2 linked regions of the Sus scrofa genome follow. The protein of the gene in region 1 binds, or shares a complex with, the protein of each later gene. Links are inferred from orthologs where the notes say so. Each region holds a gene or a part of one and is shown on either strand. Other genes may lie near its edges.

Region 1 (4,362 bases):
ATTTTACATGAGTGCTGAAGAAGTTTGCAAGAGTTTGTGCTCCGTCCCCTGTGACCCATTCCCTCACAGCTTGATTTTAGATGTGTTGGATTTGAGGTCCTTGATGGATATCTTGGTGGAACTATTTAGGACACAATACCAGCAATGGCACCATTTTAAACTATGTTCCTATTTAACAGAAACTTACATTGTGCTTTCTACACTCTAAACATAATCTGTCCTAAAAGCTTTACAAATGCCACCTTATTTAATCCCATAACAATAATTTGAGGTACATATTAGCACCCTCATTTTATTCATATTTTTAATCATCTTAATAGCCTCCAATTTGAGGAATATCCTGATGAACCATGCAGTAGAACAGGCATTTTATGTAAATCAGCTTAATTCAGTCACACAATATGAATGTGATTATATCCATTTTAAAGACCAGAAAACGAATGCTTTCGTGGCTTGCATCATTTGACTACTATCACATGGTTTTATTGTTATAAACTTTATAAAGGTGAATTTCTGTTGTGCTTAAAACTATTATCCCATTTTACAGACCAGAAATTGTCTCAGTCGTTTAAGAGACTTGACCAATGCTACAAGGCCATAAACCACCCAGCCAGGATTTGAATTTCAGTATATTTGATTCTTCATCCCAATCTTTTCCCAATATTCTTGTACTTTTCAAACGGTGTTTCCCTGGAGCCCTATTTTCAATGTTTCATAAATGTGGGCTTCTTCACAAGATTTCATAAAATTGGACAGTGCTATGAGTGAATCGCATCCTCTGCCAAAATTCATGTGCTGGAGTCTTTATTCTGGTACTGCAGACTGTGACTGTATTTTGAGAGTGGGTCTTTACAACAGTAATTAAGGTAAAAGGAGGTCACTACATCATATGGGTGGATCCTAATCCAGTATGACTGCAGTCCTTATAAGAAGAGGAAATTAGAACAGAGACACACAAGAGGAAAGAACTTTGGCACAAGAAGGAAGAGATAGCCATCTACAAGCCAAGGAGAGAAGCAGTTAACCCTGCTGACACCTTGACTACAGACTTCCAGCCTCTGGAACTTTGTGAGGAAATCAACGTCTGCTGTTTAAGCCACCTAGTCTGTGGTATTTTGTTATGGCAACCCTAGCAAACTAACACAGACAGTAAATTTCCACTAGTAAAACAAAAGTGGAAAGCCACCGTCCCAGGCAGTTAGTCACACAGGCTGTTTGACCAGTCTGACTGTTTTCCTAAACTCAACAACACTGAGGTCAGATGACTTCCTGGGATAAAAGCCAGCTTCCTCTTGCTATTACTCCAGCTCCGGTCTACAGGTTTTCTTCTTCTTCTTCTAACTTCCCCTCTGGTGACAGAGGAGATAAATATTAGAGAAACAAAAGTCCAGAATGCGAAGGCTGCCATTCTCACTTCCTCTTACCCCTTAACCCAGTGCTGCTTTGAATAGAGTCAGTGCCCCCGGGCAGTGTGCTGAGGAGAGAAGACGGCAGTGCCTGGGAGGCTGCTCTGACCAGCAGATACAGAGGGTCATGCTTTCTCCGGGTCACTTCTGTTCACGGAAAATGCCAGGATGATTCCTCGCATCCGCCTGGCTGTGGCCACGATCCCAGCCATGGCCTTTCTCTCCTGCCTGAGATCTGAGAGCTGGGACCCTTGCGTGCAGGTATGTGGTAGGAGTCTGCTCAGCTTCCCCTGAGCTTTGCCTTGCTTCTGAAAAACTGCTCTCTGCCTAGAGCTTCCCTTGGTGAGCCCTGGTTAGTTTCATTAGCAAACAGAAGTCAAATTACCTTAAAGACTTAAGAGACCAAAGGGACCAAAAAATTCATGGTAAGAGCGCACTAATAGGCAGCCCATGGGGTTTTGTCCCACCTAGGACTTAAAGGGCTAATGGGACGTTAGGTCAGATAGACCTGTTTAAAATCACTGCCTTTCCAATTCTGGGCTGTGTGACCTTGAAGAAGTTACCCAACCTCTCTTAGACTAGTTTTCACATCCATAAAAGAATTATAGGCTTCAGTACAGAGTTGCAAGAAGCCTGCTTCCTGTCATTCCTTTCTGTTGGTGGTTTGCATACTCTGCTTTGAGCTGTTTTATTTGCCCCTTTCAATCTCAGGAAGATATTTTTAGTCTCTTAATAGAAATTTCTAAGCAGATTTCCAACTTCTGGTCATAGTTCTGTCCAAACGATAAAAAGACAGAAGTTAGAAAAGGAGAGACAGAGAAAGAGAGAGAGAAAGGAATGAAGAAAGAAGGAAAAAAGAGACAAGTTATAAAATATCAGCTAATGTAATGCTTGCTTTCTTTGTGAAACATCAATCAGTTGGTTCATAATCTCATTACTGATGGATTTTGTTTGTTCTTCCACTGCATGGACTTTACAATTGCTTTGGAAGCCCATGGCAGACCCAAACAGCCACAAGAATGTCCTGGATTTAGGATGTGGCAGGGTCAGAAACTCAAGAAAAGCATAACCTGCCAGAGTCCTGGCACTGGGGACATGGAAGAAACAATATACTTTGATATGTAACAAAGACAAATCTGTTATCTGCAAGTCCTCTGTTTCCCCAATTCCCTTCTCACTGTCCTCCTCTCTGTGTCTTTCCTGCTGTTAGGTTAGTAGGTATAGATCCTCCAATCATGCTCCCCCCAGGATAAAACCAAGGGGGGGAGGGGGGTGGCAGTGGGGACCATGTGGCTCCTCCTTCTCCCATGCTCCCAATACTCTCCATTTCCAAAGCTTGCCCAACCCTTCTCTTCCCTCCAGGATCACTCTGGGGCAGATCCTCAGTTCCCTTGGCCTTGACTCTTGGACAGGGACTAGTCTCATGTCCCATTGTCCCTGTCATTTAATCTAACCTGTACATTTTTGTTGTTTGTTTGTTGCAGTTTTTCCTGAGGTTCAGTTCTAACAAATTACCATCCTTAAAAACTTGCACTAACTCTCCATTGCTATCAGGACCTTTTCCTGCCATGGGGCCTTTGCCGTGGCTATTTCCTCTAGCTAGAATGCCTTCCCCGTAGATCTGTGGTGCTCAGTGGTAATATCATAGGGTCATGTGACATTATTTAAATAATAAATTTAAGTAACTAAATTTAATTAAATTTTTATTCAACTAAGTTAACTTTTTAAACTAAATTTAAAATGTAGTTTTACATTTTCTAGTAGCTACATGAAAATATAAAAAGAAGAAAGTGAAATTAATTTTAATAATATTTTTGTTTAACTCAGTACATTCAAAATATTATTTCAAAATGCAATGTATACTAAAGCATTAATAATATATTTTACATTCCTTCTTTGGTTTTAAGTCTTTAAAATTTAGTATATATTTTACATTTGCAATATATCTCAGTTTAAACTATCCATATTTCTTATGCTCATTATGGTCAGTATGTCCCTATTGGACAGTACAGCCCTAGATATTTTTATGACTTAATCCCTCATTTCATCCAGATTTCTGCTTATATGTCACCTCCTTCAATAAGTCTTCCTTGATTGCTTCACATAGAGCACCTCACCCCCCATATTTGCCACTAGTTTCCTATGCTGCTTTATTTTGATAGCACATTTTTGTAGCACATACACATATAGGTGTATATTTATATTTTATATATATATAAAACATGTATTACCTATGTTTTATATATATATATAAATATATATTTTATTTGTCTATTGCTTGTATTTTCCTTGAAATGGAATCTATAAGAGGTCAAGATAATTTCTGGTTTTAGTTATGACTCTATCCCAGTGCATCTCACATTATAGTTGCTCATTTAAATGTGATTGAAAGCATTGCCACAGAACAAAGTACGAGGCCTCCTATCTGGCCCTCCCCTCTGGTTGAGGTTTTGCCACTCCTGCCACACAACGTTAATCTGAGCTAGTTTTTCACCCCTCTGTACTTGCTGTGCCCTCTTCCTTCCTCTCCTTCCTTTCCATGTATCCAAATCTCATCCTTCCAGACCCACCTTGAAATTTTCTCTTTCTTGGAAGCCTTCTACAGTCTATAATCTCTGGATCCAGTATTGATCTCCACTTTTTAATGAACTAAGGAGAAAATGTTCTAAGTCTGGTTTCATCCCCTTTTCAGGAGTCTAACTTGTGCTTTTCTTTTAACTCTCTCAGTTGTGAGCTCATTGAAGTCTAGAGCCATATCCCATTGGTCTTTGTGTTGTCTATAGCACTTAGCAGAAAATGCCTTCAACTGGGTTTTGAATAAACATCTATTTAAGCAGTTATCCATTCATTTATTCAACAAATATTTATAGATCATTAACTATTTCCCAGGCACCTTCTGACTGCTGCAGACATAGCAGAGAGCTAGACTTTCAAAGCTTGCAGTCTAGTGAGGAAA
Region 2 (3,824 bases), on another chromosome or scaffold:
CAAAGTGATTCAGTTATACATGGACATATGTCCATTCTCTTTCAGATTCTTCTTTTTCTTTCTTTCTTTCTTTAGTGGTACACCGATACCAAAGGAAGGACAGGATTTTGAGGAAGGAGTAGCAGTTTTGTTAAGTATAGCCAAGTTCAAGGGAAACATGGAAAAACATTTTTTTTTCTTTTTATTATGGCTACAGAGAGTCTTAGTGATCATATTAGGAAAACAGTTTCTGTAAATTAGTAGTTACAATAATTGTTTTCATTATAAAAAAGATCATGTGTCTTTTCCAGCTGGGCCAACAGAATTACTTAAAAGAGTTGAGCAAAATGCATTTCTTCCTGGTATTTTCCATGTTCACTGATAATAGGGAGATCATGAGGAAATAATAAATAGTTCATTTACTTTATTTTTAGTCGAAGGGTTCAATGTCATTCTCTAAGACATCATTCATCAAAACTATAAAAAGTGGGCATGAGTTGGTTATCATCACTTCCTTTCCCTTCCCTTTCTTTTGAATTTCCTAGTGGAACTGACACTACACTTCACATCTTCACTTGATAGTTTTCACAAAAATACAGGTTCCTGTATTTTAGGCGTAGCACTCATAATTCTCACTGTGGAACCTGCTATTTATTTTATTTTACTATTTTATTTTATTTTATTTTATTTTATTTTATTTTATTTTATTTTATTTTACTTTACTTTACTTTATTTTATTTTATTTTATTTTATTTTATTTTATTTTATTTTATTTTATTTTATTTTTGTCTTTTCTAGGGCCGCACCTATAGATGGAGGTTCCCAGGCTAGAGGTCTAATCAGAGCTGTAGCCACCGGCCTTCACCAGAGCTACAGCAATGCAGGATCCAAGCCACGTCTGCAACCTACACCACAGCTGAAGGCAACACCGGATCCTTAACCCACTGAGCAAGGCCAGGGATCGAACCCTCATGATTGCTCGTCGGAATTGTTAACCACTGAGCCACAATGGGAACTCCAGAATCTGCTATTTGATTGCAATCAACCAGCAAGCCCTCTCAGAACTTCAGTTTTCTCATCTGCAAAACAAGAATAACAATATCCTCAATTAAAGGTAGTTGTGATGATTAAATGAATTAACATAGGAAAAGCACAGGGCATATTTTAAGTATACACTAAATGTTACTGGTTATTTATAAAAGAGTATCTTGTTTGTAGAGCTAATAAAATTTTTTTCTTTTAAAGGAAGAGACATACAAAAATTATATCTCAACCTCCATATATCTATTAAGTCCATGACTTTACCAATGCGCAAAGAAGTTATTTGCCGAGAATATGGTGGTGATTATTCTTTTTGCGGAGCTCTGAAGGGAGGTAAGCCTTCAAGTCAAATTACTCTCAGAATCAAGTGTAATACCTTATGAGAATGCTCTGAAAATTAAATACATTGAAAATGTGAAGTTCCTTTTCTGATGTAATTCTTTATTTCCATCCAAAGTTTTTCTTTTAGCAGCTTAAACATTTTTTGCTTATGTTACTGGGTTATTAGTAAGATGACATTTGGGTAAGTTTGAAGGGATATTAGCATTTTACCTTGTTCAGATTAATAGCATATGTTTATCCTTGGTTATGGTTCCCTCTTTATAAACATTGCATTTATTATTTTTCATAAAAACTCAGTAGATTTTCTTTGCAGCTACATTGATTCCTTCAATTCTTTTCTCTCCTTTTTTTCCACCCTAGAATTATTCATAGCCTCATAAAATTTCAAAGTTTAGGGACTTAAAGGTCATTTATTGCAAACCTATGAATTTTTCCTTAATAATTTTAAGCTAACATTTTAAATAGTTAGAAAATTCTATGTATCATATTGTCACATTACCAAAAATTGGAAAATATAAAATGAAAAAGTCACAGAATCATACTTCTAAGGATATTTTGGAGTATTTTTGTCTCATTTTAAAACTTGTACATATTGTTTAGTAGTTGTAAGTATACTATACTCTTCATGGTATATAATATAGTATACTTACATATACATATACTGTAGTCTACATAGTATATAATGACTATAGTTGTAAGTATACTATACAATTACTTTCTTTTTAAAAATTAATTAATTTAATTCCTTGACCAATAATCCATGTGATTTGAAAATCAGAGTATAGACGTTCCATAATGAAATGTCGTCCCTAGTGGGGTGCTCTGGTTTCATTCTCTTATTGGACAGTTTCCTTCTGATGTATTTACTATTATAAGTAGTATTATACATATTTTATCATATTTTAGATTTGAAGAATCCTATATTTGGAAGAAGGAGTGCATATAACTCCCAGGGAGATTTCTGAGCTTAAATGGTTTGAATATTTGTGGTTTTGTTTACATAAAGCCAAATTGCTTTTCTAAAGGATTGTATCAATTTATACATTGTACCACCAGCAGTGCATATGTATAGTAGTTTAATCTCTGTCCTGTTAACACTGGGCATTTTCATTTTAAAAAAAAGGACTAAAAAAAGACTTTGTAAGGGAGTTTCCTCATATGGCAGCAAGTCAAGGCTCCAGCATTGTCATTGCAGTGGCTGAGGTCACTGCTGTGGTGCAGGTTCCATCCCTGGCCCAAGGACTTCCACATGCAGGGAGCATGGCCAAAAAAAACCCAAAAAGACTTTACTGGGTAAAAAACTTATGCCTAATTTTTTTCGGCCACTTTCGTGGCATATAGAAACTCCTGGGCCAAAGATTGAACCCATGCTACTGCAGCAACCTAGGCCACTGCAGTGACAATACTGGATCCTTAACGGCTATGCCACAAGGGAATTTCCCTAATTTATTTTTTTATTTTTTTATTTTAGGGCCACACCCACAGCATACAGAAGTTCCCAGGCAAGGGTTTGAATCAGAGCTACAGCTGCCAGCCTACGCCACAGCCACAGCAACACGGGATCCGAGCCATGTCTGTGACCTACACTACAGCTCATGGCAACGCTGAATCCCTGACCCATTGAGCAAGGCCAGGGATCGGGGATCAAACCCACATGCTCATGGATACTAATCAGATTTGTTTCCACTGCACCACAATGGGAACTCCTCCCTAATTGTTTTTTTATTAATATTTTTTATTACTATTGAAGTTGAATGTTTTCCCATATAATTATTTACCATTAATCAGTGCCCTCTCTTGTTTTAAAAAAGATTTCAGGTAGTTTATATGTATTCGTTAATTTAAGCAACTTAACAGAAATAGATGAGACACAATTTGAAAATAAGGGTCAAGAATTAATGGAATGAGAGTAATATGAAAATTCATAACAGAAAGGCTTATACTTTGACAGGTGCATCAATTTGATTATACATTTTCTAGCAGTCATTAAAAAATAGTTTCTAAAGTAAATCAGTGTGCTTGCTCTGCAAAGGAAACTTCAAGATGTGTCTCCCAGCCTACCATCTTTCATCTCAAACTTGCCCGCCATCCCCTACTAGTCATGGAGCTGGCATTGCCTTAGAGTCTACGCTCAGAGTCATAAGACCTGAATCCGTGTCCCAGTTTTTCCACTGACCAGCAGTGTGACTTTGGCGTGTTATTTAAACTTCATCAACCTCATTTTCCTCTTCTGTGAAATGGGAACAGTGAAACCTGCTTCACATGGTCTTCAGGATTAAATTAAAGAATGTGTGTGAAAAAGCTTGGTACTCAGCATAAGAATTTGTGAGTTATGGTGAATAGACATTAAATATTCATGTGGCTATTAGGCCCCTTCTTTTGTTCCTAACTTGACAGTGCTGTCATTTTTTATACTCAAGGAAACAAATACCTGCCGTGGTTCAGTAATGAGCCCTTGGTTA

Evidence for each region.
Region 2: the proteins of TLR4 (region 1) and LY96 are in contact, whole or in part, in a crystal structure (PDB 4G8A), measured with the Homo sapiens proteins. The link is inferred for Sus scrofa from reciprocal best matches to the Homo sapiens genes TLR4 and LY96. Residues at the interface, in NP_612564.1 of Homo sapiens: Gln39, Met41, Glu42, Asp60, Ser62, Phe63, Asp84, Ser86, Arg87, Thr110, Gly111, Val132, Val134, Glu135, Asn156, His159, Ser183, Ser184, Asp209, Leu212, Arg234, Val259, Glu262, Phe263, Arg264, Asn265, Glu266, Arg289, Ala291, Tyr292; in NP_056179.4 of Homo sapiens: Met40, Tyr42, Ile66, Pro67, Arg68, Arg96, Ser98, Asp99, Asp100, Asp101, Tyr102, Ser103, Phe104, Arg106, Leu108, Lys109, Gly110, Glu111, Thr112, Thr115, Thr116, Ile117.

The regions. Positions count from the first base shown.
Region 1 is NC_010443.5:258,043,284-258,047,645, forward strand, and holds the start of TLR4 (toll-like receptor 4 isoform 1 precursor), read left to right. Parts: upstream 1-1,326; 5' UTR 1,327-1,574; coding exon 1,575-1,667; intron 1,668-4,362.
Region 2 is NC_010446.5:61,936,863-61,940,686, reverse strand, and holds part of LY96 (lymphocyte antigen 96), read left to right. Parts: intron 1-1,224; coding exon 1,225-1,353; intron 1,354-3,824. UniProt on the Homo sapiens protein: Binds bacterial lipopolysaccharide (LPS). Cooperates with TLR4 in the innate immune response to bacterial lipopolysaccharide (LPS), and with TLR2 in the response to cell wall components from Gram-positive and Gram-negative bacteria.